2 linked regions of the Diceros bicornis minor genome follow. The protein of the gene in region 2 interacts with the protein of the main gene of each other region in a biochemical or structural test. Links are inferred from orthologs where the notes say so. Each region holds a gene or a part of one and is shown on either strand. Other genes may lie near its edges.

Evidence for each region.
Region 1: the proteins of CTSB (region 2) and CSTA form a complex in vitro, tested with the Homo sapiens proteins (3 studies listed by BioGRID and IntAct, with this or other methods). The link is inferred for Diceros bicornis minor from reciprocal best matches to the Homo sapiens genes CTSB and CSTA.

The regions. Positions count from the first base shown.
Region 1 is NC_080754.1:23,183,405-23,199,395, reverse strand, and holds the start of CSTA (cystatin-A), read right to left. Parts: upstream 6,376-15,991; 5' UTR 6,312-6,375; coding exon 6,246-6,311; intron 1,491-6,245; coding exon 1,389-1,490; intron 1-1,388. UniProt on the Homo sapiens protein: This is an intracellular thiol proteinase inhibitor. Has an important role in desmosome-mediated cell-cell adhesion in the lower levels of the epidermis.
Region 2 is NC_080750.1:62,363,623-62,379,280, forward strand, and holds the start of CTSB (cathepsin B), read left to right. Parts: upstream 1-7,899; 5' UTR 7,900-7,969; intron 7,970-12,235; exon of another isoform or gene 12,236-12,254; intron 12,255-15,658. UniProt on the Homo sapiens protein: Thiol protease which is believed to participate in intracellular degradation and turnover of proteins. Cleaves matrix extracellular phosphoglycoprotein MEPE. Involved in the solubilization of cross-linked TG/thyroglobulin in the thyroid follicle lumen.

The sequences.
Region 1 (15,991 bases), on a different chromosome or scaffold from region 2:
TCTTATCTTTGAACAAAATCAGGGGCTGACCCGGTGGCACAAGCGGTTGGGTGCGCGCGCTCCGCTGCGGCCGCCTGGGGTTCGCCGGTTCGGATCCTGGGCTCGCACGGACGCACCGCTTGACGAGACATGCTATGGTGGCGTCCCATATAAAGTGGAGGAAGATGGGCACGGATGTTAGCCCAGGGCCAGTCTTCCTCAGCAAAAAGAGGGGGACTGGCAGATGTTAGCTCAGGGCTGCTCTTCCTCACACACACACACAAAAAAATAGTAATAAAAATAAATAAATAAATAAATAAAATAAATAAAATAAAATTGAACAAAATCATTTTTAACTGGAAAACATTCTTTTCCAGCTGTAAAGAAAGCAGATACATGTGGGCCTTCCAGGGCCTGGTATGTACTAGGAGCTCAAATTTGGTAGGACTGGGCTGATCAATTTACATAACCCAGTATTGTAATTTTCTCATGCTGAGCTGGTTAACACCACTTATTTTTTGCTGCAAACTTTTAAAAAATTTTTTATATCTTAAGTAGTTAATTGTTTGTTAAGGAGAAATAAGGCAGACTGTGCCCTGGTCAAATGGTTTAGTAAAGATTAAGTAAATACATTTGAATATCTGTTGTTTATTTATTAAATTAGAATTATCATCTTCTCAATACAAAATAATGAAAATGGCTCCCAAATATCCACGATTGACTTGTTGAATTGGTTCCCTCTCAATAACTTCACAAGTATTTTCTTCAATTAGAACTGGATCAGTGCATCATTTAATTTTTTTAATATAGTTATAAAATTAATTTAAAAAATATTTTAAATGCTTCACTTCTTTAGACAATACCCACAGGGGCACAAGTTGACTCTACCTATTTGAGATGCAAAAATTATTATGTAAATTATATTAATCAAAATGGTTATCTAATGGGCAAAAGTGGCTTATATTATTCTCCCAGCTAATGATTCAAGTCATTCCTTACATCCATTTAATTTAGATACATAGAATCGCAAAATTTTGAGGTGGAAAAAGGCTTCATGATAACATCTGGTCCAGCCCCACGCCTTCAGGCTCCGACTTCACAGGTGAAGCAGCCATGGCCACGAGCTAAACATACTCTGAACTGTTGTGAAATCTTTTTCTATACAATTTCTGGAAATTAAGTTAAGAATCAATATAAGAAAGCTTTCTAAATTCACAAGAAAAAGACAATACAAATATACCAGCATCTGCCAAATTTGAGAGTCTACCATTTGGGAAGTATCATGCTAGGTAGGCATCTTGGTTTAGCACAAGGAGAAGGAACAAATTATGTGGTAGGAGTGACAGGGAGCATCACATAAAGTGATAAATACAGTATCTTTATTGCCAAAGTGGATGTTGAATACTAACCTTAATGTAGTAATTTGTTCCAGCAACCACTTGAGTTTTATACTCCACGGCTTTAAATTCTTCATAAGTCCGATTTGTTTTTGCTTCAAGCTGTGATTTAACCTTAAGAGAAAAGAGGAAACAAATTATCAAAGCTATATTGGACTCCATCTATGTGATTACAAATATGGGAACCTCATGTTCCTAAAAGTCCTCAAAGATGATAATGAGATCTATGACCTATTTTCAATATTTATAGAAAGACACGTATCTTTAATAAGATTACATGGGCAAGGGCTAAAAACTGGGAGGATTGATGCAAGATCTGTATGAGGAGAAGCAAGACTGCCCCCAGATCCTTCCCTCTCACTAGCCTCTCCCTTGGAAGACAAGTTATTACCTGTCCTCCACCCTGGCAGAAGGCTGGAGCTTTACTCTTAGGAGAAATTGAGTCAGAGAGGACATAATTCCTGAAGGCAGGAATGAAGGACATTGGAGGCCCCATGCCTCACTCCCGTCTACATAAGTTTCTGGTGTTGCTAGTGCCTGTGCCATTTTGGAGTTCCGCAGCATGAATCTGCTTGCTTCTGGCTCAGACATTCTGTTCTGTAGCTTAGGCTCTGTCTAGATGGCTCAGTTATATTCCATTGTTTTTCTGTTTTCCATCTTCCAAAGTTTTGTCGCTATCTCTTTGTCAAAGTGGTGTTTGCCTATATCTTGTTGTCTTTATATTTGTGGGTTTGTGCCCTTTCCCTCCCAATCCTTTCCTATCATTTAGAGGGAAAGGGAATTACATTTGTGTATTTGATATACCTTTTTTATTGGGAAGTTGCTTCCCTGCCCTTCGCTGAAGCATTTTATGTGCCTATACAGCTTCAGTCAGGCCTCCAGTGCATCTAGGGTTGTCCCGAGGCCACCCAGTCCTTCCCATCTGTGGACAGACATTTTGAATCCTTTTCTATTGGGACCTCGGTTTGGGTACCAGAACTGTTTTCAAAGACGTAGACATTTGCAAACTCTTTGAGTTCTCAGACCACTTTCGAGGACCAAATACTTCATGGACCACCACCTATTTCTCCTGTAACCTTCAGAATAGATGGAAAGAATGTGATTGCTCTCTTGAGATGGAAAATGAAGCTCGAAGTTGGAGAAAGGAAGGAGATAAATAGTGAGAAAAAAACCAGAAATGGGAAGAGATAGGGTGCAGGAGAGAGAGGAGAAAACTGGACAAAGGTGCAGAGAGAAGTTGAGTAAGAAAAGGAGTTACTGACTTATTGCTCCCCTGTCCTAAGCCTTTTGAGCGAACACTGGGTACCAGTCGAGTTAGGACCTGAGTTGGAAAGGATTACTCTCTACACTAAACCCAAAATCCTCTAATTAAACCTCATTTTACAAATGAGGAACCTGAGGCTGTGAGGAGAACATGACTACATAATGCTGAAAAATTATTAAATATAGTTATTTAAAGCTTAAAATCCCTTGCCTGATAACTTAAGTATCTGATTTATCTGTTGCAATTATCTGTATTTCTTCTGGTTTCCATCTTTTGGTCATGTTTCTACCATGTATCAAAGTTTTTATTTCTATCTGTCCTACAAATTAATCCAAATCTGTAACCTTTCCATTGTATGTATGCAATTCACAAGTCCAGAATTTTCATGAGAGAGTTGATTTCAAAGGTCCTGGTTTGTTTCTGTAAGTGCACTGGCACCTGTCAGACTGTGCACCCTGATTTCGGGTTCACTGTACTCAACCTGTAGCTTTGCTCCCCCTTCCCAGTAAAGCAGATTTGTATTGTTCGAATGTTGGGTGCTATGAACCTGGGGTGATGAGACTTAAGCTGAAGAGCTGGAAAAGGGGCAGAGTAGAAAGGAGTGGGTTAGTGAAACCTTAAGTTTCAGAAGGCAGCTTGGTGCTGAAAGACCCCCCAGAATGGGCGGTAGGAGGGTGCAGGCCAGTGGGAGTGGTGGTCTGGAGCCTGGTGGTAAAGAGACAGACCTTGAGCTGAACACAGTTGGCCTTCACCTTCCGCACCTGCCATGCGTGGTGGTGGCTGAGGTGCTGGAGAGAACAATGTGGGCTTGTCAGTTGGGCCCCGCCAGGGGAAGGATGCTACAAGGGAGGAGCAACTGGTAAAGTACATTCACTCCAGAGCTGTTCAAGCATTTCTTATTGCTGCAGAGCATGAATCTTGGTGAGATGTTAGTTCTCTGGGATCTGAGGATTTGAGCCACGCTGTAGCCAATCATTCCGCAGAAACATTTGGACTATGCATAATTTAGGAAAGAATGGACAGAAAGATAATGGTGTTATCATGAATAGGCCATATTTTGGGAAGTTTTACAGAGTGAGGAAGGAGAGTTTGGGTAGTACATGAAAGTATAGTGGGGCTGGTGAGAGGTGACTTGTGGACATTTGTTGTCTGAGTATGTTTTGAGGAAAGGGGGAAGTATGGGGCAAGACACCCAGTATGCAAGAAATGATGGCACCTGGCATAAGAGAGGAAGGGCTGGTTTAAGAAAGGAAGAGAGAGTCTTAGATTAGAGGGAGGGAGGAATGAGATTCGCAGAGGATAAGTAAATCGGGGTGTTCTCGCACCAGATGACTGTGATTTTCTAAGAGAAGGAACTGAGACACTGGCCGGAGGGGCCTTGTGGATGGGAGGGATTGAGAAACTAAGGAGAGAGAAGGTCCAGATCCACCTCTGTGAGGTTTCTAGAAAAGGACCAACAGGACATGACTGAAAGGATGTTCTGGCAGCCTTGTTGGGTGTTCCTGTTGAGGTTGCTCTCTGGCATGAATTCACAGATTTGTAATGGGTGAGTTTTCTAGGGTTCTGCATCTTCCTTGAGCAAAGTGCTCTGAACCTGGAGCAGAAGCTGAGGAGGATGTGGTGGCAGTGGGAGTGATCTCTAGTTGAGGATCAGAATGCCAGAACCTCACAGGATCATGGAAATCAGTGTCGGAGGAGTGTATGAAACCACCCATCATGGGGTCCGGGCTGGATGAGTGAACGAGTGGGCCTACGCATGTTCTGATGATGATGGGAGGGTGAGTGCCTGAAGGATTCTGGTGTGGCTGAAGGTCAGGTTCTTTGGGTGTGTGGCAGTGGAAGAGGTGACTGATGAGGAGGCTGTGGTCAGAGAGAACACAAATTTGTGGGTGAGTGAGAGCCGTGACACGCTAAGCCCCAGGGTGTGTCCCTGATGGTATGTAGATGAGGTGTTTGCATGATATCCTGGCAGACAAAAGTCATGATCTGTGTGTATGCCAGGAACAGTACTCAGCAATCAGGTTTGACTTAGAGGAGTGTGTGTGTGTGTGTGTGTGTGTGTGTGTGTGTTTTGTGTGTATGCATCTACGCATGTATAATAATAGCCCTTATTTCCAAAAATAACTATTGAAATAACATTTTTTTCCTACACATAAACATACTCAGAATTCTCATCCAATGGTTTTTTACATATGATATAAGATAGTGGATCAGCAATAATGATCCAGAGGCTTTTGCTGGTAGGGCCATTCATTTGGTCCTTGATTATACGTATCATGGCTTCTCATGGATAGGGCCATGTGTGGCTCTTTATTTCCTTGTGTGTATCTCTTATTTCCAATCTGTTTTGTAAATTTCCCTGAGGGCAGGGACCACCTTTTTGTCCCTTCTCTCCCTATAGCAATTCACAAAGTACTGTGTACACAATCAACATTTTCCTCTCTTTCTCCTCTCATCCAACATCCCTCTTTCATTTTGATGTCAAATTCTTTGAGCCTGTAGTTTTCATTTTGCTTGATACTTTCCCTCTCCAGGTGCCGAACATCCCCCTCCTGTCCCTCCCTCTCTAATCGGCTTATCCCTTCAGTTGGCATTCCACTAAGAAGCTTCCTGATGAGGATGGGGAAAGCTGATCTTCTCCAAGAAAAAAAAGCCTCCAAGGTATTTATTTTTTAAAAGAACTCTTGAAAGAGAAATATTTAGGCCCAAAGAATGAGTGGTAGAATTCTAGGCATCTGAGCTCTTAGAGAGCTTACAAGTGCCCTGACATAGAGGATCCCATCTCTCCACTTCCACAAGAAGCTGACCCTGTTTGCAAAATAGTGTTATATAATGAAGTTTCAAAGAGAAAAAACAAGAAGGAATCATACAAGAAAATAGGGCAATTTACAAACCTAAAAAGGTAATTTATATATGTTTTCTTTTCATAAAATATGCAATACAATAAATTTTTATTATATAAGTTATAGCTAATCAAACAACACGTAGAAAAATGTATCAACTTGCTAAAAACATTAAGAGTTCTATTTTCACCATAATCAATTTTGGAATCACCGTAGACTATGCCACTTCTCTACTGGTTAAATCATCTTCTAACTATTAAAAGATGAAAACATTGTTTATTTAGTCAAATTTGTAGGAAGTTTGTAAATGGATTGCCTTTATGATATTGTTCTTCATTCAACCCATTAAAAAAAATTTCCCTGCAGTGCCTTTGAAGTCTAGTTCCTCAAATCTTTAACAACCTCAGACTTTAATTATATGTTGGCTCTACTTGGTGAGATTAGAAAAGTTTCATCAGAAACTGAATTAGTAATCCTAGAATCATACATTGTAAGAGCTTTAGAGATGATCCAATACAAAATCTTCTTTTACAAGTCGGGAAACTGAGGCTCAGAGAAGGGATGTGACTTGCTCAAGATCACTCTCACAGTTGGGATTATTAGAAGTTTCCTCTGAAAAAAGTTTTAGTTGTAAGGAAGTCTAAGCAAAACCACACATTTCCCAATGTTCTGGTTTTCATGTTCACCCACCACACCTAACATGGGGCCAACCTAGGAACCAAGATTTTGAATTAAACTTTTTCATGAGATAAATCAACTCACCTCATTAGCAATCTCCTGGATATGTGGAGTGGCAGGTCTGGCTTCAGTTAAGCCTCCAGGCATCATTTTGCCTAATTGCTTCTTTGCTGGGCAGGATGCTGGAACAGAAATGGTCAGGCAAGAGTTGAGACTCCGGTTTTTAAAGAGGGTGTTGCTCATAAGCTCCGCCTACAGAATGTTTTATTTTCCACAAAAAGCAAAAAAGGCACAAGGAAAATGAATATGACTTGAGGCAAGTTTTCTTGCTTCCTCAACAGAATGTGCTAATAGGGCTTTGGAAGAATGAGGAGCTTGGGATGAATAAATGGGGGTACACAAGGAGTCATGCTGTAACAGGAGTCAAACTTTCCTGCATTCTCTTTGACAATGGTTCTACCCTGTTGCGTCTGAAGTATGAAATCTGAAGCCACACCCAGAGTTTCCCAATGTTGTAAAACCTCTAACACAAAACTTTATTTTTTTAAAGGATATTTATTAATAATGTCAAGGCTGATTTTTTAGAATTTACTTGGCTTTATAAAGAAAGTAAAAGGATCTATCTGGAGAACTTTGGCTGGAAATTTGTATTTTACTTTTATTTATACTTCTAGAACTGTTTAAAATACAGAAAAAAACAAAGAATAAAACAACAAATGCCTATACGTGTTCCTATCACCCAGAATCAAAATTTTTAGCATTTTGTCATATTTGTTTCCTATCTTTTTTTTTGTAGTTGTTTTTAAGAAATAAAATATTACAGCCCCCCACCCCCAACCTTGCCCTCCACAGAGATAAACTACGTTGAGAGTTTGGTATCCTTCTAGTCCATTTTTATACTCTTACTTAGTGTGTTTCTAAAAATCTACTTAAATTGTACGTTAAACACATATTCTATATTAGGATTTTTTTCTACTCAACATGTTTTTGAGTCATTCCATGTTGGTACACAGATCAGTTTAGTTCATGTCCTTTAACTGCTATTCTTTGATAGATCTGTCTGTCTGTCTGTCTGTCTGTCTATCTATCCATCTATCTATCTATCATCTATCTATTCTATCTCACTGCTATATGCGATTCCATATTTTACATACTTATTCCGCTAGTGATGAAGATTTTGTTGTTTCTAGTTTTTCACCCTTATAAACAATATTGCATTTCTTTCCTTTTGTACATGTGTGAGGGCTTCTACAGGCAAATTATCTAGAGGAAAATTGCTGTTTTGTGTGAATATTTATTTGTATTATTTTATTCAATTTTTGGAATATGTAACACATACACATGATAAAAATGTTCAAAAGGAACAAAAGAGTTTACAATAGAAGTAATTCTTCGCTCACTCTATTCCTCAGCCACCCTTCTACTCTCCAGAGGCAGCTACTATCCCCAGCTTCTTGTACCCTTCAGAGATAGTCTTTACACATACAAATAGATAATTAACTACACACATACATACATATACATGTACACACACTTTTCTCTTATAAATGGTGCAAATGGTAGCCTACAACATAAACTTTTAGACACTTTGCTTTACCCCTAACAATATATTTTGGAGATTATTCTATTTTATTACATAGAGAGGTGTTTCATCCTTTATAATGTTTGGCAGGTACTTGACAAATTCTTGGAGATAGGCAGATATCTTACTGGATAATCTAAGGGGTGCTTTGCAGATAGCTCTCCGTGGAATGGCTTCACTCATGTATTGAGAAGAATAGCAAATGTGCATGACATGGTGCTCACTCAAGAGGTCACAAGTCATCTTAAGACTTTGGCTCAGCTCTGGCCACAGATAACCCTTGACATCTTCCTGTAACATTCCCAAGTCAGGTCCTCTCATATCCAAGCCTCCAGCTTTTTTTCAGGGCTGCAGTCCATTTCTACCTCTCTGTTCACCAAATATTCCAGGTGATCCTTGTGTAATCTCCCTGAGGTCAGGCATACGGTGAGCAGCATATCTTCCATTCTCTTTCTAGAGCCTATATACCATGTTACTCTCAGGTATTCCTTCTTGATTCTCAATAATTTCTTTTAGAAGAAAAAACTGCCCAAAAGCAAATATTGCTTCTGTCTTTGCATTTCTACTATCATATCCTAGTTCTTCTCAGGGTAGTATGGAGGCCTCTGACTGACAGAGGAGGAGTCTTGTACAAGTAAGTACAGAAAAGAAAAGCACAACAATTAATATCTCTATGTTAATTACTTAAACACACAATTAAATGCATAATTATTTTTAAATAACTTTAAGATTGCTGTACTGGATGTTGTGGAGGGTTTTTTTGGTTTTAATTATTCAGGCTATTTTTATGGAACTGGACATTCTCATATGTTTTATATATCTTGTCTGTGAGCTCATCTTCCAAAGGGAAATATCTTTTATGGAAGATTTCCTCTGTGGGGGCTGGGTTATGGGCTTCCCTATGGGGGGGTTTGCCTCAACTGGACACTACAGGGTGCACAGGCCCCAAACTAGGTCTTGTTTTACTGTTGGCTTAGGGCTCTTGAATCATGAAGATACTCAGAATTTGGGTTTATATTCAGCTTTTGGTACGCCTGGGGCTCTGGACATCTCCAGCTAACTGTGCTCCCACCCATGGCTGGGGTAAATGTATGATATGCTCATTTACTATATATCCCATCATTGCCATTCCTAAGTATTTACCCAAGAGAAGTGAAAACATCTGTCCACACAAGGACTTGTGTACAAATGTTCATAGGTGCATTATTCATGTTAGCCCCAAACTGAAATGACCCAAACGTCAACTGGTGAATAGATTAAAAAAATTGTATATCTGTATTATAGAGTACTACTCAACAATAAAAAAGAACAAAATAACAATACATACAATAACATAGGTAAAACTCAAAAACAAGTCAAAGTGAAAAAGAAGGCAACTAAGAGAAGTCAAACACAAAAGACTATGTATTAAATTATTCCACTTACAGGAAACCCTAGTAGAGGCAAAATCAGAGTGATGAAAAGCAGACCAGAGGTTGCCTGGGGTTGGGAGTGGGAGAAAGGATCGACTGCAAAGGGGCATGAGGAACCGTTTTACAGTGATGGAACTGTTCTACATCTGGATTGTGGTAGTGGTTACTAATGGTATACAATTACCAAAATTCATCAAACTGTACACTTAAAATGGGTGGAGTTTATTGCATGTAACTTACCCCCAAAAAATCTGGGAAAAAAGGAATACCTGTTAAACACCTTTATGTGTCTCTTGGTCTTGCTTTTATACTGCTTCCTGTACCGTTTTTCATTAGCGTTTTTTAACTACCACTGCATCAACATATTGTCTTAAAAACAGTTGTTGGGCCGGCCCTGTGGCTTGGTGGTTAAGTGCGCGCGCTGCGATGCTGGCGGCCCGGTTCGGATCCCGGGTGCGCATTGAGGCACCACTTCTCCATCCATCCTGAGGCCGAGTCCCACATACAGCAACTAGAAGGGTGTGCAGCTATGACATACAACTATCTACTGGGGCTTTGGGGGGGAAAAACAAAAATAAATAAAATCTTTAAAAAAAAAAACAGTTGTAAATGTCCCATCTGAAGTGTGTGTTCAAAGGGATGGCAAAGTTACTCCTCCCGGCTGTCCTCATGGTGAGGGGAAAGTAGGAGGTAAGGTTGGTTGAGGACAAACCATGAAAAGCAGGTGAAAGATTGTAAACTTTAGTTGTTAGGTAATAGAGGCCACTAAAAATTTTGAGCTGTACAGAAACCATTTGTACTTTAGGAAGATAAAACTGGAAGCAATGTGTAGGGTGGATTGGATGAAAGGATCCTGGAGACAGAAAGATTGATTAGGAAGTTATCACAATGGAACAACGAAAAGTTAATTCTGATCCAATGTGGGAAATGGACTGGAGAGAAATGGGACCATACGACAATTTATAAAAGTAATATTAGGCGGGAGAGAGGACACAGAAAAGGGAGTCAGGTGGCTGATGGAGGTGTTTTGTTTGGATGACCAGAAAGATAATTGTACTATTAATAGAATTTGGGAATACAGGAGGAAGAGCATGTTAAACAAGTTGGCCCATATTGAAAATATAAAGATATAACTGGGTAAAGAAATCCATTTCTCTCCCTTTTCCTGGCAAATAGTGGGGAGAATGAAGACTTTAGCAAGAGAGTTTAATCAAGGCCTTACTAAGGTAATGTGGAAATCAGAAATAATGGGCCTTGATGTTTCAGTGGGCTTAGTTATAGAAGTTTAATTTTAATCATATTTCATAAAAAGTCTTATGAAATAAATGCTAGACTGGTCATTACCATTTCAGATGAGGAAGATGAGAAGGCTGGAGAACATTAACAAACCAATGATTGTTGAGGCACACAATATAAAGCAATGCTGGGTAGATGAAGGTCTTGCTTAATTTTAATCTATTCCATCTTAGTATGTCATTAATAATTTAAATTTCTGTCTTGTTGCTTTACTAAGAAGCACAAGAATCTCTCCCGTGATACTCAAGTGTTAGCTACTATAAAATACAATTTTTTAAAAATGTGGTTGAGGGCAGAATCTTTTTGTATGACACAATTCTCTATCTCTTTCTGAGAAGAAATTAGCTTTGTTGATAAAATACTTAAGCAATTTCTGACAAATTTTAATACGATTAAGACTTGTTCTGGGAACCTACTTTCTTATAATAAGCTTGATTAACTTGAACTTCTTAAATTTCCTCACAGGCTATGGATGCAGTAAATTATTACTGTTCCAATAAAATGTTTAGAATTATAAAAATGAAAAATTATATGTTCAACTAAATGGAAATATAATAACTGCTATCATAAAATGGTTTGTTCTGTAAAGTTTTTTGCTACAAATCCTAAGAATTTAGTTATCTCCTTTACAATAACTCTTCAACAAACTTTCAATATCAGCTTTTGTTTCTCTGTAGTTTGTCATACAAGGAAGAGAATCAATAAAGTAGAGTAAGATCAAAGGCACAGTTTTTCCTGAGATTGGCAGGGGAAGGAGAGGGGGAAGAGAATATGAAATATTAAAAATAAAAATCGGTTGCACAACAATGGGATGTACTTAATACCACTGAACTACACACTTGTAAATGGTTAAAATGATACTTTTTTTTTTAATAATTTTTATTTTTATTTTATTTTTTTTTGTGAGGGAGATCAGCCCTGAGCTAACATCCGTGCTAATCCTCCTCTTTTTGCTGAGGAAGACCGGCTCTGAGCTAACATCCATGGCCAATCCTCCTCCTTTTTTTCCCCAAAGCCCCAGTAGACAGTTGTATGTCATAGCTGCGCATCCTTCTAGTTGCTGTATGTGGGACGTGGCCTCAGCATGACCGGAGAAGCGGTGCGTCAGTGCGCGCCTGGGATCCTAACCCGGGCTGCCAGGAGCGGAGTGCGCGCACTTAACCGCTAAGCCACGGGGCCGGCCCCTAAAATGATACATTTTATGTTATGTATGTTTTATCACAATAAAAAAATAAAAATAAAAATCATGGAGGACCACAATGGGGAGAGGCAGGAGGTTAGGATAGGAAGCTTTGTATTCAGGAAGCTGCTGGAATGAATTAGGTCTGAGGTCATTGAGATTTGGGTCAGAAGCAGTGGCTTTGGCTATGAATCATTTTCTGTGTTTGGTCATAACTGTAGTGTAGGCATCACCCTGCATTGTAATTGTGGCCTCCTCCCTGAGCCTCCTGCCTTCCAATAAAGGGCACTGCCACCACCCAGCTGCTCAGTCCAGAAGCCATGAAGTCACGTTTTATTTCCTTATCTCCAAATCCAAGCCATCAGAAGATTCTGCCCAAAAAATTTCTGCACAAAAAATACTATGTGCTGTTTGTTCTCCATACAATAATCAGAGTGATCTTTTGTAAACACAAATTAGATGATGTTACTCCTCTGGATCAATTCCTTTAATATCTTCCCACTAAATTAAAGAAAAAGTAATCCAAACCCCTTACTATGGACTCTGAGGCCTTGCATAATTCCATCTTTGCCTAACTGTCCAACCTCATCTCATGACACTTTTCCCCCTTCATGCTCTCCAGATGCACTAGCCTCATTCGGTTCCCAGAGCACGCGAGGCTTTTCTTCACCTCAACCTCTGGACACTTGACGTTTTGCCAGCTAGGAATGCTCTCTCTCAGGTTCTTCAGAAAGTTTTCTCTATCACATCCCAGCGGAAACATCATGTTCTAACAGAGGCCTTCTCCCACCTCCCACTAGTCCTTCTTATGTCATCTTCTTTGTTAATAGCACTATTCACAGTCTGTGCATGTTTTGATTATTTTTGTATTCTCTGTTGCCTGGAATAACTGCTATATTCCCAGATCCCAGAGCCTAGAACAGTGCGTGGCAGATAGTAGGCATTCAATAAATGTCTATTGAACGAATAAATAATTGCCTTTTTACTTGTCTTTCTCCACCATTAGAGTGTAAGTCTGTGTGGGGGCAGGAGCCCTGGCTGTCTTTTTCCTTGTTGATATCCTGGTTGCTAGCAGAAGGCCCCGTACACAGTAAATGCTCAATATAAATTTGTTGAATAAATGCATGCATTCAAGCTCTCTATCTGGATTGGATTATGGGTCTATCCAACAGACCTTTATCTAATATAAATGGCAGATGTCTCAGGGTCCCCCTGGGAGAGGACGGCAATAGAGCAAAGAAGCAGAGAAACTGGGCTGTGTTACTCCATCCCTTTTTCTATTGGAGCAACTCTTGTTTGTCTTATAAACTATGGTTCTATACAAAAATTAGTTAGGAGGTCTGTAGCCCTTCCGTTTTTTTTGTTTTTATATAACCACTGAGTCAAACTAAGCCCTTCCTTTTATACACGAGGATACTGAGGCCAAGAGAGACAAAGTGTTTTGCTCAAGGTCACACACCAGTGAGTGACAGAGCTGGGCTGGAGTTCAGGTCAACTGACTCCTGCAGTGCTCTCTCGACTGGATCTCCTCATCTCCTATGGTACTCTCTGTCCTGTCCTGAGGGTGATTGGCAAAGACCTGTAACCTTGGGATGAGGGCTGAGAAAAAGGTCTTGGTTTTGTGTGTGCTCTGTGAAGGTAGAAGGGCAGTTATCCTCCTGGAGTGATTGTTGGGCATAGATAGATCCCATCGGACTCAAACCACCTCTTTGTCAGTCAACCAGCACTAGAGGTTGGCCACCTCCTGAGACAGATCTCTGAGCTACTGCTGCCCCAGCTGATTCGCAGGAGCTCAGTGGGAAGCTCCAAGGTACACACATGAGCCAAGGTGAGTACATCCGGGTTGTAACAGATCAGTTAGTGTGGTGATTATAGCTCCATAGATAGGTTCCTGCTTGTGAATTGCAAGATAAGAGGATGACCATCAGCTCTGTTTGTTCTAGCTTACTCATGGAACGGATGCATATGTTCAAAACAGGTTGTCCTCAACTGGTGACAAAGTTTGCTTATAAGTCAGTTGTGTGGAATTTGGCATTTTCCTCAGAAATGCCATCTGCATGGTGACCTCTAGGCTGGCTAGTCAAACCCATTTAACCTACAATGAGTCTGCCTTGTGCAGAGAAATTTCATCATTGAGTAAATACATTGTTATTGATTGTTGTCCCCACTATGTTCCAGATGGATCTCATAGTTCAGAGAGGAAGATGAAGAAGTGAAAAGTTCCTATAATTATAGTGCAGAAATGCCTTAACTGGGACTAACCCCCCCTGGAGAGCTGGGGAAGGTACTTGAGACGAGATGCTTGAGCAGGACCTTGGAGGATGACTGGAGCTGGCTTCCAGCTGTTCTGAGTTTCTCTAAGTGTTATTTAAAAAAAGATTTTTTTTCATTAACAGCTTTACTGAGGTACAATTGACTTACAATCACTTCTGTATATTTAAAATGTTCAGTTAGATAACTTTTTTTTTTTTTAGAAATACACACAACCATCAGATTCCTGTCTCTATAGACTCCACAGGTGAAGACAAAGAATATACATGTGTATACATATATAGTTTTTGAGGAATATTGGCCCTGAGCTAACATGTATTGCCAATCTTCCTCTTCTTTTTTCTCCCCAAAGCCCCAGCACATAGTTGTACATCCTAGTTGTAGGTCCTTCTAGTTCTTCTATGTGGGACGCCACCTCAGCGTGGCTTGATGAGGGGTGAGTAGGTCTGCGCCCAGGATCCAAACCAGCAAACCACAGGCTGCTGAAGCAGAATGTGCAAACTTAACTGCTATGCCACCAGGCTGGCCCCTCAATTTGATAACTTCTGACATATATATGTACATACACACATATATACCACAATCATTACTGATAGTTTCCTTGTACCCCTTTGTAACCCTCCCTCATGCCTCCCCACATTGCCCATCCCCAAGCCACCACTAATCTACTGTCTGTCACTATAGTTAGTTTGCATTTACTAGAATATTACATAACTCTAGAATGATTTCTTTTACTTGACATAGTTATTTTGAGATTCATTCATGTTGTTGCGTGTATCGATGGATCATTCCTTTAAATTGTTGAGTAGTATTTTATTGAATGGATATACCACAGTTTATCTTTTCACCAGTTGATGAACATTTGGGTTGTTTCCAGTTTTGGCCTATTAAAATAAAGCTGCTATAAACATTGATGAACAAGCCTGTATGGTTTTATTTCTCTTGGGTGAATACCCAAGAGTGGAATGGTTGGATCATGTGGTAGGTGTATGTTTACCTTTTTAAGAAATTTTCAAGCTGTTTTTCAAAGTGGTTATACGATTTAACTTTCCTACCAGTAGTGTACGAGAGTTCCAGTTTCTCTACATCTTTGTCAACACTTGATATAGTTAGTCTTTTTGATTTTAGTGATTCTAATAGGTATGCAGTGGTATCACAATGTGGTTTTATTTTCATTTCTCTAATGACTAGTTTAGTACCTTATTATTGCTTCTTTGCCATGCATGTATCTTCTTTGGTGACAGGTCTATTCAAATATTTTGCCCATTTTTAGAGGGAGATTTGTTTGTTTTCTTACTAGTGAATTTTAAGAGTTCTTTATATATTCTGGATATAAGTCTTTTACCAGATATATGATTTGCAAATATTTTCTCTCAGTATCTTTTGAAGGGCAGACATTTTTAATTTTGATGAGGTTCAACTGATCAATTTGGTTTTTCAAATAGATCATGCTATTGGTATCATATCTAAGAAATCTTTGCCTAACTCAGTGTCATAAAGGTTTTTCCTCTATATTTTCTTGTTAAAGTTTTATAGTTTTAGGTTTTTAAAAATTTGCTAATAAAAAAAGAAACAGACAAGAAGTTGGTTTTTTCCCAACAATTTCTTTCCTCTCTCCCTGCTTCTATTTTTCAATTCAGACTCTAAGTTGGTAAGACAAAATGACAGGTGGGTGCTTCCTCTACATAAATGATAAAAATAAGTTTCTCATACCTTCCGGAGAACTACAAAGCTCAGGCTGACCCTGTCATCATTAGGGCTGGATAAGGGCCCTGTGGGGAACTGCCGAGCCAGCCTCTGAGGAAGGGTCGGCAGATGCTGGGATTGAGGGCATCTCAATCCCACGTCAGTCCTACCGCTAAAATCTAAGCAGGGCCAGGCCTAGAAGAGGGGCTGTGACAGAGAGAGGAAGAGGAGGGAGGAAGTAGGGAGCCCCAGGGGAGGAGAAGGGGAGATCAGGGACCAGCAGCCCCTTTCCAGTGGATGTTTGTATGATAGGAATGCACACGGGCTGTTGAGGTGGTTGGTGGGTGGCTGCTTGTGACCATGGCCGACCAGCACTGAGTGCCATCAACATCATGTAACTACA
Region 2 (15,658 bases):
TCAGTACTTTTGATTTGGAGCAGGCTGAATGATAGCTCATGCTTACTGAGCTTGCTCTGTGCTGGGCACACAGGATCTTACATGTATTAACTACCTGCCATGGGCTGAATTGTGCCCCTCAAATTTCATATGTTGAAGCCCTAACTCTCAATGGGATGGTAATTGGAGATGAGGCCTCTGGAAAGTAACCAGGTTGAGATCAGGCCATGAGAGTGCTCTTATAAGAAGAGACATCAGAGAGCTTTTGCTTCCTCTCTCTCCACTCGCTGGCATGGAGGAAAGATCACGTGAGGACACAGTGAGAAGGTGGCCATTTTCAACCCAAGGAGAGAGCCCTCACCAGGCACCAACCCTGCAGGCATCTTGAGCATGGACTTCCAGCCTCCAGACTGTGAGAAATAAAGTCCTGTTTTGTTATGGCAGCCCAAGCAGACTAAGACACTCCCTTGATCTTGTAACTTTCCTATGAGATCAGCCCCATCATCACTGCCATTCTACAGATGAGGAAAAGGAGCCCAGAGAGTTTAACAAACTTGCATAAGGCCAAGGCCACCGACTGGGAAGAGGCAGAACCAGGATTATGAATTTGTGACAGAGACCAGCTAGAGCTCACCTAAACCATTTGTTCTTCCTGGGCACACAGCTAAACCACTTTTCCCAGCCCTGTGACATCCAGAGTTTTCTTCAGTGGAATGGATGTGAAAGCACTGTATACCGCTCATAGGCTAGGGAGGTGAAAAGGACATGGGCGTTTCCTCCATTCTCTCCCTTCCCTTTGACAGAGACCTCAGAGTCCATGTGTAGGAGATGGCAGTGCAACAAGAAGGGAGCAGCCTGAGTCCCTCAGTGACACCATGAAACGGAGCATGTTGCTCCAACCAACTCTCACTGGTCTCCAACTTTAGTCAGAGATGAACTGTTGTTGGGATAGGCCTGTTTATTATAGCAGCTTGTATTACTTACCCTGACTAATACACCTGCCAGAGTCCTTCTTAAAGGGACTATTGAACTCTCTCTTGACTATAGCCACAGGCAGCAAGTAGGTACTACCATTTAGGGTGTCTTAACAGTATAAAGTTAGTTCTAGACATCAAGTATCAGCAAGGTAACCAAACCACGCTTATATGTACAAATGATGGAGATATGTGTTTGCACTATAAAAACCTGAATGAATACTACCTTAATCCTAAACCAGGAAACAACACAAAGATAATTTTTAAATGAATATAGGAAAACTCATTTACTATTGCACTTACCTTCAAGGAAATTTACTTTGATTAATAACATATAGGCGGGCCGGCCCCGTGGCTTAGCGGTTAAGTGCGCGCGCTCCGCTGCTGGCGGCCCGGGTTCGGATCCCGGGCGCGCACCGAGGAACCGCTTCTCTGGCCATGCTGGGGCCGTGTCCCACATGCAGCAACTAGAAGGATGTGCAACCATGACATACAACTGTCTACTGGGGCTTTGGGGGGAAAATAAATATTTAAATAATTAAAAAAAAAAAATAACATATAGGCAACCTAGTCCAACATGGTTTATAGCAAAGTTCCCTTTTAACTTCCAGTACCAGGCACAGCCCCTGTCCCACAATAGACTGTCAATTAACATTTGTTGAGAAAATGACTGGTCTTCATTCCCTTATTGTTTTCTGCTCACTACAGAGTTGAGACACATATGGTCAGGAATGTCCCCAATCAGTTTTTGATCTGAGGTTTCCAAATGGCCTGCCTCTTCTGGGAAAGTCCAAAGCAGCCCTCTCCTCTAGGACAGTGTTATGGACTGAACTATGTCCCTCCAAAATTCATGTGTTGAAGCCCCAACACCGAAGACCTCAGATTGTGACTGAATTTGGAGATTGGGCCTTTAAAGAGGTGATTACATTAAATGAGGACTTTAGGGTGAGCCCCAATCCAATCTGACTGGTGTCCTTAAAAAAAAACAGGGTTAGGACACAAAAAGAGATACCAGGAATGTGTGTGCACAGAAAAAAAAGGATATTTGAGCCCATTTTTGAAGAATAGTTTTTGTGGAGTTGTTTTCAATTTATATTTTGTTTTTGTTTCATATAAGACCAGAACTTTTATTCCAACGTGATATTATGAAAATTTTCAAAGACAACAAAGCTGGAAGAATTTTACAGTGAATTTTATGATGGATACTGGTTCACCCACCACCCAGATTCTACCATCAACATTTTACTGCATTTGCGTTATTGCCCATCTGTCCATCTACGCATCCCTCACTTCCTCCATCCATCCATCCATCCTCTTAATGCATTTCAGAGTAAACTGCAGTAACTTCTCTTTCAGCATCCATATCATTAACCAGAATCCAATATTGCTTACAGTGGCTTCTGTTGATGTAAACTCTATCTGGAATGATGAAATGCACAAATCTGAAGTGTATTTTCCCTGAGTATTGACAAGCACATACACCCGTGTAACCCAAAACCCTATCAACATATAGACCATCATCATCACTCCAGAAAGTTCTCAAGTGCCTTCTCAGTCAATGTCCACCCTCACTGTCCCCAGAGGCAACCACTGTTATAATTTTTGTGCCACCATACAATAGTTTTGCTTGTCCTAGAACTTCATTTTAAAAAGAATCAGGGGCTGGCCTGGTGGCGTAGTGGCTAAGTTTGCACACTCTGCTTCGGCGACCCAGGGTTCGCAGGTTCAGATCCTGGGCGCGGACCTACACACCACTTATCAAGTCATGCTGTGGCGGCATCCCACGTATAAAGCAGAGTAAGATGGGTACAGATGTTAGCCCAGGGCCAATCTTCCTCAGCAAAAAGAGGAGGATTGGCAACGGATGTTAGCTCAGGGCTAATCTTCCTCACCAAAAAAAATAAAAATAAAAGAGGGCATATGGCATGCCCTCTTTTGCGTATGATTTCTTTCACTCAGCATAATGTTTTTGAGACTGATTCTGTAGTTGTGTGTAACAGCAATTTGATCCCTTTTTGTGTTTGGGAAGGATTATTGAATATACCGTGGCTTGTTGATCCATCCTCCTATGGATGTACACCTGGTCTGTTTCAGGTTTTGGCTATTATGAATAAAATTAATACAAAGATTCTTGTACAAGTCTTTTTGTGGCCAAATATTTTCTTTCTCTTGGGTAAATACGTAAAAATGGAATTGCTGGGTCATAGGGTAAGGGGTATATCTAGTTTAAAAAAAAAAAAAACAATTGCCAGAGTGTTTCTTAAAACAAAGTGGCTGTACCCTCTAATTCTCCTACCAACAATATACGAGAACCCCCATTGCTCCACATCCTTGCTAACATTTGGTGTTGTCAGTGTTTTTAATAAGACCAGAAATTTCTATATATCTGGCTCTAGGCATTAGAAAATGGGAAAAGCTTTGTTATCACTAAGCACATGTCTGTAGGGGCACTGTGGTTGGTGTATTAACAGAACCTAATTTAAATTTATTTCTCATAACAACCTGGTTAGAGGCTGGGAAAAGTGAAGTAACTGTGGAACTAGGATTCAAACCCAGGTTCTTCTGCTTCCTTTTTTTTTTTTTGGTACCCTGGCTAGGACTAGTGAAACAATAGGGTGTTAAGAAAGGAGATCCCCATGCAAAGCAGTGTTGTCAACTTTTTCCCATTGGTCAGAGCCCTCCAGGAAACTCAGAAGATTCTGGTTTATGGTAGCACAGTCTGGTGCTTCTGGCCCTGTAGGTTTGGATGAACTGGGACAGGGGATAAGGGGGGATGAAATCCTCCTCCAAACACTTGCTATCTTCCACCTGCTAGAGGCCTCAGGAGATCAAGCTCTTGGGCTCATAAAAGGCCTGAAGGAAGAATGAGCACAAAATACCTTGGCCAGAAGAAAGCCACTCTTTGTCCCTTCCTAAAATCGCACCACAGACTCTGGGGCCCAAAGGTGTGTGAGTTGCAGCCATTCCTATTGCCTGATGAAGCTGGAGAGAGGCTGGGGCTGGGGATTCACGGGATCCTGTTAAAAATGCTGCTCTGCCCCTAACAAACTGTGTTAACCTAGGATGTATTAGGACTTCTCTGAGTCCCTTTTTCTTCATCTGTAAAATGGGGGGAACTTTCCAACATCACAGGGTTGTTGAGAATATTTTTTAAAAGGTGTGTATTACATAATAGAGTATATTACATAATAGATGATCTATAATTATTCTTTTTCATTCTCCTTTTCTCCTGTTTGGTCAAATAGATTCTTAAAAAGAAAGTTAACTTGTTCTACCGTGTTAGATATTGTCATGTTCCTTTTGGGGATGGTGAAAACGGTTCCATGTTGTCACAGCTTTGCGTGGGGCCTGTGCCCTTCCTTTGTCCTGTTGCCCTTGTACACCAAGCTGGGTAGGAAGGTTGGTCTGCTCCTGCGATTCTAAGCCTGAAGGTAAACTTGAACTAATGGGTTTAAGCAGCAACAATAAAATAGAGGATCACTCTTATCAGCTGTCACTCTGTTGGGTCAACACCTGGGAGGAAGAACTGGCCAAAGCCAAAACCATTAGACTCCTCTGTCGACTACTAAAGAACCCACTGAAAGTCAACACACCATCAACTAAAAATCTCTCCACCAAAGACTCTAAGGCCCTGGGACTTAGAAGCTGGCAGAGAGAGGTCAGAGAAAAACAAACTTACAAGGGCTTACAAACAAGGGGGAAACAAGTTAGGCATTTCTTCAGAAAAGGGAGTTCTTTTTTTTTTTTTTCGTGAGGAAGACCAGCCCTGAGCTAACATCTGATGCCAATCCTCCTCTTTTTTTGCTGAGAAGACTGGCCCTGGGCTAACATTTGTGCCCACCTTCCTCTACTTTATATGGGACGCTGCCACAGCATGGCTTGACAAGGGGTGCGTCTGTGCACGCCCAGCATCGGGACCGGTGAACCCCGGGCCGCCGCAGCAGAGCGCACACACCTAACCCCTTGCGCCACCGGGCCGGCCCCAGAAAAGGGACTTTTAAAGGACTGCCAAAAAAAGAAAAATAAAAAAGGATCATTTCTACTTTAGCCTTTTCCAGTACTCCCCTAATCAACCCTCCTGTTTTTGGTAAAAGGTTTATTGTGACATGACTGACTTACCATAATATTCACCCATTTAAAGCATACAATTCAATGGTTTTTAGTATGTTCTCAGGATATATATACATATATATATATCATCACCACAATCAATTTTAGAACACTTTTATTATTCCTAAAAGAAATCCTGTATCTTTTAGCTATCGCCTCCCAAATCTCCAACCTCCCTCCCCCTCCAGCCCAAGGCAATCACTAATCTACTTTTTGTCTCTATAGATTTGCCTATTCTGGACATTCCATATAAATGCAATCATAGGGGCTAGTGGTTAAGTTTGCTGCACTCTGCTTTGGCAGCCCAGGTTCAGTTCCTGGGCTTGGACCTACACCACTCGTCGGTGGCCATGCTGTGGTGGTGACCCACATACAAAATAGAGGAAGATTGGCACAGATGTTAGCTCAGGGCAAATCTTTTTCAGCAAAAAAAAATAAAATAAAAAATAAAAATAAATAAATAAATGGAATCATATAACATGTGGCCTTTGTGACTGGCTTCTTTCATGTAGCATGAATGTTTTCAAGGTTTATCCATGTTGTAGCATGTGCCGGTATTTCATTCCTTTGTATGAATGAATAATATTCTATTACACAGGCATACGACATTTTGTTTATCCATTCATCAGCGGATGGACATTGGATTGTTCCGCCTTTTAGTTATTGTGAATGCTGCTGCAATGAACATTCAGGTACAAGTTTTTGTGAGGACATATGTTTTCATCTCTTTTGCTTATATACCTAGGCCTCCTTTCCAGAAGCTCAGCAGGCAAACAGCTTCTGCACATACAGGCCAAGGCTCTTCTGTAAATTCTGAGGGCTATTCCCTGACCCCCAAACCTGGGAGGTTAAGCCAAAACCCTACTCACCTTCAAGGCCCACCTCATTCATTTATGCATTCACTCAGTGAATATGTATTCATTCATAACATGAATATGTGCGAGGCACTCTGCTATGTGCTGGGGATGCACAGGGAATGACACAGGCAAAAATCCTTTTCCTCATAGAGCTTAAGATCCAGAGGAGGTGAGGAAAATAAGTAAAATTATGTGGCATGTTCCTTTCTCCATGGAGCATTCCTGGATGCCCCAGGAAGGGCTAATTCTACTCTAGTAGTACTTATTTTTCTCTTGTTTTATTTCAGAAATGATTTCTACCTTTATAATGGCACCAATCCAAAATTCCATAAAATTGGGATAATGTGTGTAAAGCACTCAGCACTCCTCCTGTCACGCTATAAAGATGAGAGAGAGAGGATGAGAGAGAAAAAGAGAGATTTATCATGGTTATGTGTTTCCTCTCCATTTGTGCCTTCTCTTATTAGCTCCATTATGGAATTCAAAAATGATTGACATTCATTCAGAAGGTGACATGTCAAAACATTGATTTGCAGTCTGTAGTCCAAGGCTGGAGTCTCTTCGTCCTTCCTGTTGTCCTAAGTTCCTTGGGAACGCCACTCAATTGGGGGTTTAGTAACCTTGTGCAGACTCTGAGACTTCTTTCTTTCTGTATTCTTTTTTTTTTTTTTATAATTTTATTTATTTATTTTTTTTCCCAAAGCCCCAGTAGATAGTTGTATGTCACAGCTGCACATCCTTCTAGTTGCTGTACGTGGGACACGGCCTCAGCATGGCCAGAGAAGCAGTGCCTCGTGCGCACCCGGGTGGAACGCAGGCCGCCAACAGCGGTGCGCGCGCACTTAACCTCTAAGCCACGGGCCGGCCCACCTTCCGTATTCTTAATTGGGACCAAACAGGTGCAATCACATGTCTCCAGAGAGCTCTCTGATGGGCCCTGGCAGGCACAAGGACTATGTGACAACTGATGGTCAGGCATCTGTACGACGCAGCAGATGCCTCTTGGATCTGTAGCCAGGGCCTCTTGGAGTTGCCCAGACTTATAGCTTTCTTATTACCAGTAGCACGGGCGTAAAATACCAGACCTTACCAGATAAAATGCCAGCCTCTTGAATAAAACAGGGATCATACCTACCTTGCAAGGTTGTCATAAGGATTACAAACATCTGGGTATTCTTGGAGGAGGGTAGGTCTTGAGTTACCCCACCATCTCCATCAGCCTCTCCAGTCACTCCGCCAAATGAACTCCAGGTGAAATAGCCTGCTGCTGTGCGTGCCCCTTCAGGACAGGCCTCCTGGCACCCTATTCCAAACAGATTTCCGCCCCTAAGTTCCTTCTCCTCAATAGAAATCCTGACGCAGCTCCTGAAATTAGTACTTAGCTATTATCACACAGCTGCAGTATCTTATAGGCACGTTCTCAGAATATTAAGGATAAAAGGGCCTTTTAAGGCTCTTCTGGGAGGCCTGCTGTCTTGATAATCCCGCCTCTGGCAGTGGTTTCTGAATGAATGAAAAGAGGGATAGTTATGCCCTCCCCCAAGGAGGGATCCAGCAGGCTCCGAATGCGTCGGGCAGCGGCGGGCCCTAGGGAATTTCTCCAGGCTGGGTGGACAGGGCCTCCTTCAGCTCCTTCCGCTCCCCACAGGCCCCGGTCCGCAGGGTTAGAGGCCGGCGGGGCTCAGAGCCCCTATTCCCGGGCCGGCGAGCCGGCGCCCAGCGGGATCTCCTGGAGCCGAGGCGGGAGCGGGGTCCACAGCGGGAGCTGGGGGTGGGGCTGGAGTGGGGGTGCAGGGTCCGCAGGGGCAGCGCGAGGAGCTGGGGGTGGGGTGCGGAGCCCGCAGGGGAGGCCGCGGCACGGTAGGGTGGGGGCGGGCGGCCGGCTCGGCGCGCTCACGTGACGAGTCAGCCGGGCGCGGGGCGGGGCCGGCGCGGTACATAGGCGCGGGGGCGCGCCGGGAAGCGACTGCGGCTGCTTGGGCACCAGCGCGGGCACCGGCTGGGGCGCACTCGCAGGCTGCAGGCCCAGGCTCTCGGCGGCGGGGCTCGGTGAGTGCGGGCGGGCCGGGGCGCGGGCGCAGCGCCAGCGCGGCGAAAGTCACCGTGGCCGGGGATGGGGAGACTGGGGCCCCTTGCGCCTTTCTCCGGGCCCAGGCGCGGTCCCGCGGCGTCCCCAGGCCTGGCGGGAAGGGGGGACCCTCGGGCTAGCACAGCTGGGCTGGCAGGGGTGGCAGCCCGCGCACTCCTAGAAGTCCCTGTGGTGAGAGACGCAGAAAACCACCCTCACGCAGCCAGCCGGGCACCCCCGCCCCCACTGCGGCCGGAAGGCTCGCCCCCGCTGGCCCCCACCCTAGGGCTTTGTTCGTGACCCGGCGCAGGGTCAGCGCGACCCCAGGCTGCGCCGGCCTCCAGGGCCGGGCGGGAGGCGGCCGGGGCGGAGCTGGGGAGTTTCCTGGGGAGATGGAGGGAGGAGCCTGCGAGGAAGAGCTTGGCCGGGATCCCGGTGACTGTCGGCTAGAATCTGGCTCCTCAGCCCCTGGTGAGCTTCCGGACCTCAGTTTCCTCAGCAAAATTGCTAAGATAATGGTATCTACCTGCATCTATTTTAGATGTTTTCTTATTGTAAAGGGTTTTCCTGGGCAACTTTCTGCACACAGCCACACCCAATTCCGGGTACCCCAGGAGACAGGAGCCTGGAACTGGGTGGAGTGGGGTGGAACCCACATGAAATCCACGGATGGGAGGAGAAATTAAGCAGAGGATAGGAGAATGTATAGGCATGGAGGCCTCAGCCCTCTTCCCCCTGGGGGTATGGGGGGGGGAGGAGGAGGATGCCACTCCCTACTCCTTGACTGCTATGGAAGGGAGACAGTGCCTCAGGCCCAGGGTGGTGTGGGAGAGAGGAAAACAGGGCAGAGTCCCTGGGGTATCACCTCTTCCCTCAGTTAATGACTCTGGGGGCCTGGGAGAGGGAGAAGTGTGGGGTGACTGAATTGGGGGGCTCAGCAGGCAGTCTAGATAGATGTGAATTGGGTTTGCCTTCTTAGTGGGCCTACATCAACCCCTTCCTCAGGCATTGAGGAAACCAACAGGCTGGCCCAGGGAGAAGGACAATAATCCAGGCTTCCCATGTTTCTACCTGACTCATAGAGACCCTCACACCAGGTGGGAGCGGAGGTGGTTGGGTTCAAAGGGAGACCTAGCACCTTTTGTTACCTTGGAAAAACTGGTCCTCAAGTGCTTTCAGGAGAGGCGAAGGCAGCTGAGATGCATTACAGATGCAGAACAATAAGGTGAAGAGGCTTAGAAGGGTGTCTAGTTTGGTAAAGGCTGCTTTCCTTTTCTTCCATAACATCTTTAATGGAGAATTGTTTCCTGTTGGCGCTGGTGATGGTCACCTAGAGCCTTTGAGCTTCGTAGAGAAGGGGGCTGGGCTGTCCCCACTGTGTGTGGCTTTCCCACACAGGGAGAGGGTTGAAGGTGCCCTGGAGAAAGGTTCTGCTCAAACCTTTTTGGGCATTTGTCCCAGAGCAGGGGTACTGCTGAATGGAAAAGTGCATATCCCTTCTCTGCGGGCTTCCCAGCCCCCAAGGGGAGGCAACACAGGCCAGACACAGCCCTGGCTCCAGTAACTGCCCTGATGTTGAGTCAGGACAGCCCTGTTTCTGGACTGGTCAGGGGGTGAGGCTGGAAGCCCTTTGGCTCCAGGATGAACCTGCTCATGTGCTGCTGATTCAGCAGCTTGAGCTGAGGCGCTTCTTGTAGACTGGGTCTGTCTCTGACTGCTGGACCTGGGGGTTGGAGTAGGAAGCTGCACACATTTTAGGGGTAAAAGAAATTTTGTGTTACTGTTGGCAGTTGAATTGAGAAGGGAAGGGAGAGCACTTCCAGGGGACACTTGAAATGTCTGGGTGATCTTCTTAAATGTTGTAATGAGCTGTGGTTGTGTAGAATGTCACTGTCCTCGGGAGAGAAGGACTGAAATATTTTGGAGTGAGGACTCACAACGTCTGCTGCCAATTTTAGATAGATTAGCCTAGGAAAGTATTAGCAATATGAGGTTGAACTATATGAAATGGGAATTTATGTGGGTCAAGAAGGATCGAAATCGGGGCAGTTTCATATGGTTCAGCCTCACGTGTAGAGAGAGGGTCGACAGTAAATTGATGAATTGAGTTGAGGCACATACAGGTGTGTATAGTACTCACTGGGTGTTGAGAAGCAGTCAGCAGTCTATACCTGGTCCCGTAGCATCATCTCTTTTGGTTTATTCTCTCAGCGCACACTCCAGGAGCCCCCTAAGAGAGGGAGCGTAGGAGAGAAATCCTGAGTCCTTCCATGATTGATACTGTTCGTATTCTACCCTAGTTTGGATAGGGAGGGGGATCAAGGGATCAAATGCCATTACATATCAACCAATTCTGTTTTTAACCTTAAACCTCATCCCCACCCCCTATCCACAGTTCCCGGGGCCTCCAAGTCTCAGGCTTCTGTGGGGTTCATAGGATGAGTGCGTTCCCTCTTGGTTACAGCTCCCCTTTGCAGGCTGTAGGTTTCAGCTTCTTTGCTCTGCAAGTCCTTTACCCTCCTGTGCCTGCTCCCAGTCTTCCTGAGGGACATTGTAGCTCTTATCTGCTGTCTCTTTATAATTCTCCTGCAGGTTTTTTGGTACTTCTAATACTTTGTATCACTCCAGGAACAATATTATTTAAATTGATGTAACTTAATTATACTGCATGTATCCTTTTCCTCTGGTGTTTATGAGAGTTATTTATATTGATACATACAGATCTAGTTCATTCATCTTAAAGGCACAGTGTATCTACTGAGGGAAAATTAGGTTGCTTTTGCTTTTTCCCTGTTGCTCACAGTGCTACAGTAAATATCCTGGTATCTCTCACTTGCAAGAGTTTCTCTAGGGCAAAAGCAGAAGTAAAGTGCTGGATGGTAGAGTGTATGCATCTTGCAATTTGCTAGATACTGGCAGTGCTGTCCAATGAGGTTTTACCAATGTATACTCCCGGCGGTGTTAAGGGTTCCTGTTCCTAATTTTTACCAACACTAGATATTACCAGACTTTAATTTTTGCCAATCTGATGGGCATGACGTGGTGTCCCTGTTTTAATTTTCGTGACTAGGAATTCAAATTTAATTTTTTGCCCTAGGAAATTGTTAATTAGTGAGCTTTTCTATTTTTGTTGTTGATGAGTGATAGTGTTTGTGGGTTTTAATGTGTTTATGAACAGTGAGAACTTACTAAGTTTTCTTTAGATCCTAACCTAGATATCTGGACCTCTGAAATTAAATAATGTTTTCTAATTTTTTAACTCTCAGAATGCATGTGAGTTTTGGGTCCTGGCAGTCTGACTCTCCCTCTTTACAGATGAAAAAGCTGAGGCACCTGCAAGTTTGTGACATGATGGGGGTCACTCAGATAATTGTGGTGGAATTTCTCCTAGAATTTGACCTCTTGACAGTTCTCCATCCCTGCTCAGGTAGACCATTCAGGGTTTGCTCTTGGTCTTTTCTCAATCACCCGATTCCTGCACCTGTAAAACAAAAGCCTTATACAAGACCAAAGGTCCTCTTCCAGCATTACTGTTCGATGAATGCTGGGTGCTGGGAAGGATGCATGCCTGCAGTGTTGACTGTGTTATCTGTCTCTACCAGGCCAGTAACTCATTTAGTCTGGTCATCAAGATAACCTAGAGTTGCCAGCAGGGATGGGGGAGGGGAAAGGGACAGATACCACCAAGATAGTAAACTGATTCAGTATAGAGCACTGTGAGAACATCTAGATATTCTGCCAAGAGACCCAGCAGGGGCTGGGCTTCTCCATGACCCTCTGACCTGGACTTGGGCAGGATGTGCGCGTGCACACACAAGTCATGTGGCCTTCAGGCTTGCGCAAGACCTGGGAAAGTGGTGCCAGCCCAAGGCTTCAGCCACTCCAGGATTGACGCATTGTCAGACATCAGCTGGGAGCCATCTGCTGCCTGTTCTCGATCCACTTAACCCTACAAGTGTTGGAGGGTGCTTTGTTCTGGTGGGCCAGATAGCAGAAAGCAGAATAAACCATCATTTGAGGGCTTATCGCAAAAAGCAGGGGGATCATGATTTTTTATCCACAATGGCATACTTTTGAGAATAAAAACAATTACTCCGGGACAGCAAGAGTTAACTGGTCTGCATAGGGCGGTGTATACTCACCACACTAGTGAGGGAGAGACTTCCTGGTGGCAGTTCAGCGTAAGGGCTGCCTGCTCTGAGCCAGGCTGCGTGGGAGGCACTTTCAAAAAAAACATCTCCTTCCATCTCCCAACAGCCTTGTGAGGTGAGTGTCTCTTCCCAGGGGCCCCAGGAGGGGAAACCGGGGCCAAGCCATAGAGGCGAGACCTTTCCATTACTTGCTTTTGTGGCTGCCAGTGTCTCAGCTGCCCCAGCTGGCCGGGAGATGTAATCTAGCCTGTGATCGAATTAGGGAGCCGCTGTGTTCCTGCGGGCTGGAGAGGCACAGAACACTAATCTCGTTGGAGTCTCTAAGGATTTCTAAAAGCTTTTATAAAGTCATCCCGGGGTCCTTCAGAATCCGGGCAGTGTGCCCATTTTAGAAACCGAGACATGGGGATGTAGTGCCCCCTTCAGCATCTCAGTAAGTCAGTTTCAGAGGCGATGAACAAAGCTGGTAAGCACAAGCTTCCAGAACTTTGCCCAGATTGTGTTGTTTCTCAACAATACAAAATATTTCGACTGCTGAGGGCCTTTCTGGGGTCCATTGTTTTAAGCCTAAGGTAGTAGTTTTCTTCTGTTTGCGGGATGTGGGCTGCTGTGGCTGATCTTAAGTAATGTTCCATTTGTGGGCACTGTAGCTACATGGTTTCCAGATACTGTGGGAGAGTAGCTTGAGTAGGCTGGCCTTGCTGAACCTGGGGGGAATTAGTCATTTATTTTGGACAGATGATTGGCAGGTGGGCAGCAGGGGAAGTACCTGTGAGTGGCCTAAAGGGTTTAGGTGGGTGAGGCAGGTGTGGGGCCTTCTCACTGTTTCTCCTGGTTCCCTTGGAGCCTGCTGGCAGCCAGCTACAATGGATGCCTTTTCTGGGTCATAACAGTTGCTTGGGGGCATTCAGCTGCAGGGAGCCCAGCTCTGGGGGATGGAGAGGCAGCTGGTGCCTGTTGATCCTCACAGCTTTCAGGAGACAAGTAATGACTAGGAGCCGTTTTTTCTTTTTTTAATTTAAAGATCATAAGCCAAGAACCAGTTAAACATGTTTCCGTTACAAGCAAAGACATAAAACACGAAAGACCACATCAAAGCTGTGATTCAGACTCAAAAAGGAGAGGTCTTGGGTCTCCTTCAGGTTGATCGCGGCACATCTGAGATCAGGGCACGTATGTCAGCCACCATAGTGCTGCCCCAGCCTTGGGGTGTAGCTGGGCAGACAGAAGTCGAGGGGAAGTGGAGACTGCCCAGCGTTGTTGTGTGGGTGCACTGAAATGGTCGGAACTTGAGGAACAACTGCTGTTAATGACAGCAAGAGACAAGTCTTTGTGGAAGAGAGAGACACTTATAAAGTTCTCTAGCAAGGTCCCACTGAGTCGTCACAACCCTCCTTTTCCACCTTTCCCCTTACCTAGAGCCCCTCTGCTGATATATGAGGCACAACCTTAATTTGTGGCAATTGACAAAATGTAGCCACTCAGTTTTTTGAGTCTTGAGAGCCAGCTGTGAGAGAGGTCAGCAGTATTGGACAGCAGCAGTGGGCAAGGAAGAGCAAGGTACTGGAGGAAGGGCTGTCGGCACACCTGCATTCATCTTTTTCTGTATTAGCCAGAAGATTGCAGCTGGGTTATTTGGAAATTTCACATATATATGTCTTGTCCCTTTAGATCCAATACAGATTTAGAATTCAGTCTACCTGAGGGCTGTATAAACTTGTAACAAAGCTTTTTTAAAAATCAGAGTTGGGGGGCCGGCCCGGTGGCGCAAGCGGTTCAGTGCATGCGCTCCGCCGCGGCAGCCCGGGGTTTGCCGGTTCGGATCCTGGGCGCACACTGACGCACCACTTGGCAAGTCATGCTGTGGCGGCGTCCCATATAAAGTGGAGGAATATGGGCACGGATGTTAGCCCAGGGCTAGTCTTCCTCAGCAAAAAAAAGAGGAGGATTGGCAGATGTTAGCACAGGGCTGATCTCACAAAAAAAAAAAAAAAGAGTTGCTGGGAGCCAAAACTGATTTCATGTCCTTAGGGATATCAGGACTTGAGGCCTCCTGCGAGTTGGCATCAGCTTCTCTCCTCTGTTCATTCCACCTCCTTCCAGAGTCCCAAGGTCCACATTAGTCCCAGGAACGGCTTCAAGGTAGTCGGGGGAATGGTTCTGCTGTGAGGGGAGGTTGAAGGATCACCTGGCCACAGGCCCTTTTTTGCACATGACAATATTCTACAGAACCTCGGTGGAATGTGTTTTCATATAAACCGTTAAGTGCTATAGGAGTTGGGAGAGGAAAGAAATGCGAGAGCCCATTTTTTTAGCCCGAGATTAGCTTGAAAAAGGGGCAGAGGGGTGTGGTGGAACCCCAGGTCTGCCCAGGAAGTCCAGCTGGCTGGGAACTAGGAGTCACATCTGCCCGCAGCTGTTTCCTCCCTCCACCGGCCCGCACCCGGAGAGGGAGGGAGTCTGTGATTTGTGAGTGTTCTTATCCTGTTTGGGCCCCTCTTCCCTCATCAAATAAGGACTTTCTGTTCATTCTGTCCTGCAGTTAAAGGGAAAAACCTCACACAGTTGAGAAATAAAAGGGAAGTGTATGCCCAACGATGGGAAGTGAAAGCTGGTTCTGTTTCGTGCTAAGGCCGCGGGCCCTGTGACCGGCTTGTTAACAACAGCACAGCTTGTTTTAACCACTTGTGTGTCGTTTGTCCAGTGTTCATGATTTGTGTGGATGTGGAGAGGAAGAAAGGTGGCTAGTGCTCACTAGAATGAAGTTGCCACGGCTCTTGGGGCATCTGTGTCTGTCCCTCTAGGAGGAGAAATTTGAGTTAATATTCTTTGGGCTCAGGACCCTCAAAATGAAGCCCATTTGGAGGCTAATTGAGGTTAAAACCTCAATTTTAATTCAGACTCTTCTTTGTGATGTGGAGGTGTTGTGGACAGGTTTGGCGTGAACTGACACAGGCTACAAGTGGGGGAAAGAAGAGAAGAGAGGGAAGGAAGGGAGGAGGGTGGAGAGTCGGAGCTGGAAGTCAAGGAGCCTTCATTGCCTTACTGTTTGGTAGGCACTGTGGCAGGGGCTTCTGCCCACCCTCGTTTCACTCTTGATTTCCACCTGGAGAAACTAATGGTTATTAGCTCCGTTTTACAAGTGGGGAGACTGAGGCTCAGTGAAGGCTGGGTGCTCAAGTAAGTGGAGGAGCTGAGATCTGAATCTAGGTCTCCTGACTCCAAGCCGAGTGCTCATCCTTACCGCCCGCTACAGCGGCTGTTGACCACTTAACCCCAACCCAGACGCTCTCCCATAATGCCACAACGCTGTGCCAGGGGTGCTGGGGCTGGAAGGAGGAGCTTACCAAGGCTCAGTCTGAGTGGGGTTGGGAGTCAGTTGTTTATGCTGAGCTCCAGGCTCACAGTCACGGGGACCCTGCCTCTCCACCGAGGCAGGTTATGAGGGAGAATAAAGTTGACAGGAAATATGGAGAAGGACCAGTGGAACCAAAGGAAAAGAAGGGTACATGCACGGAA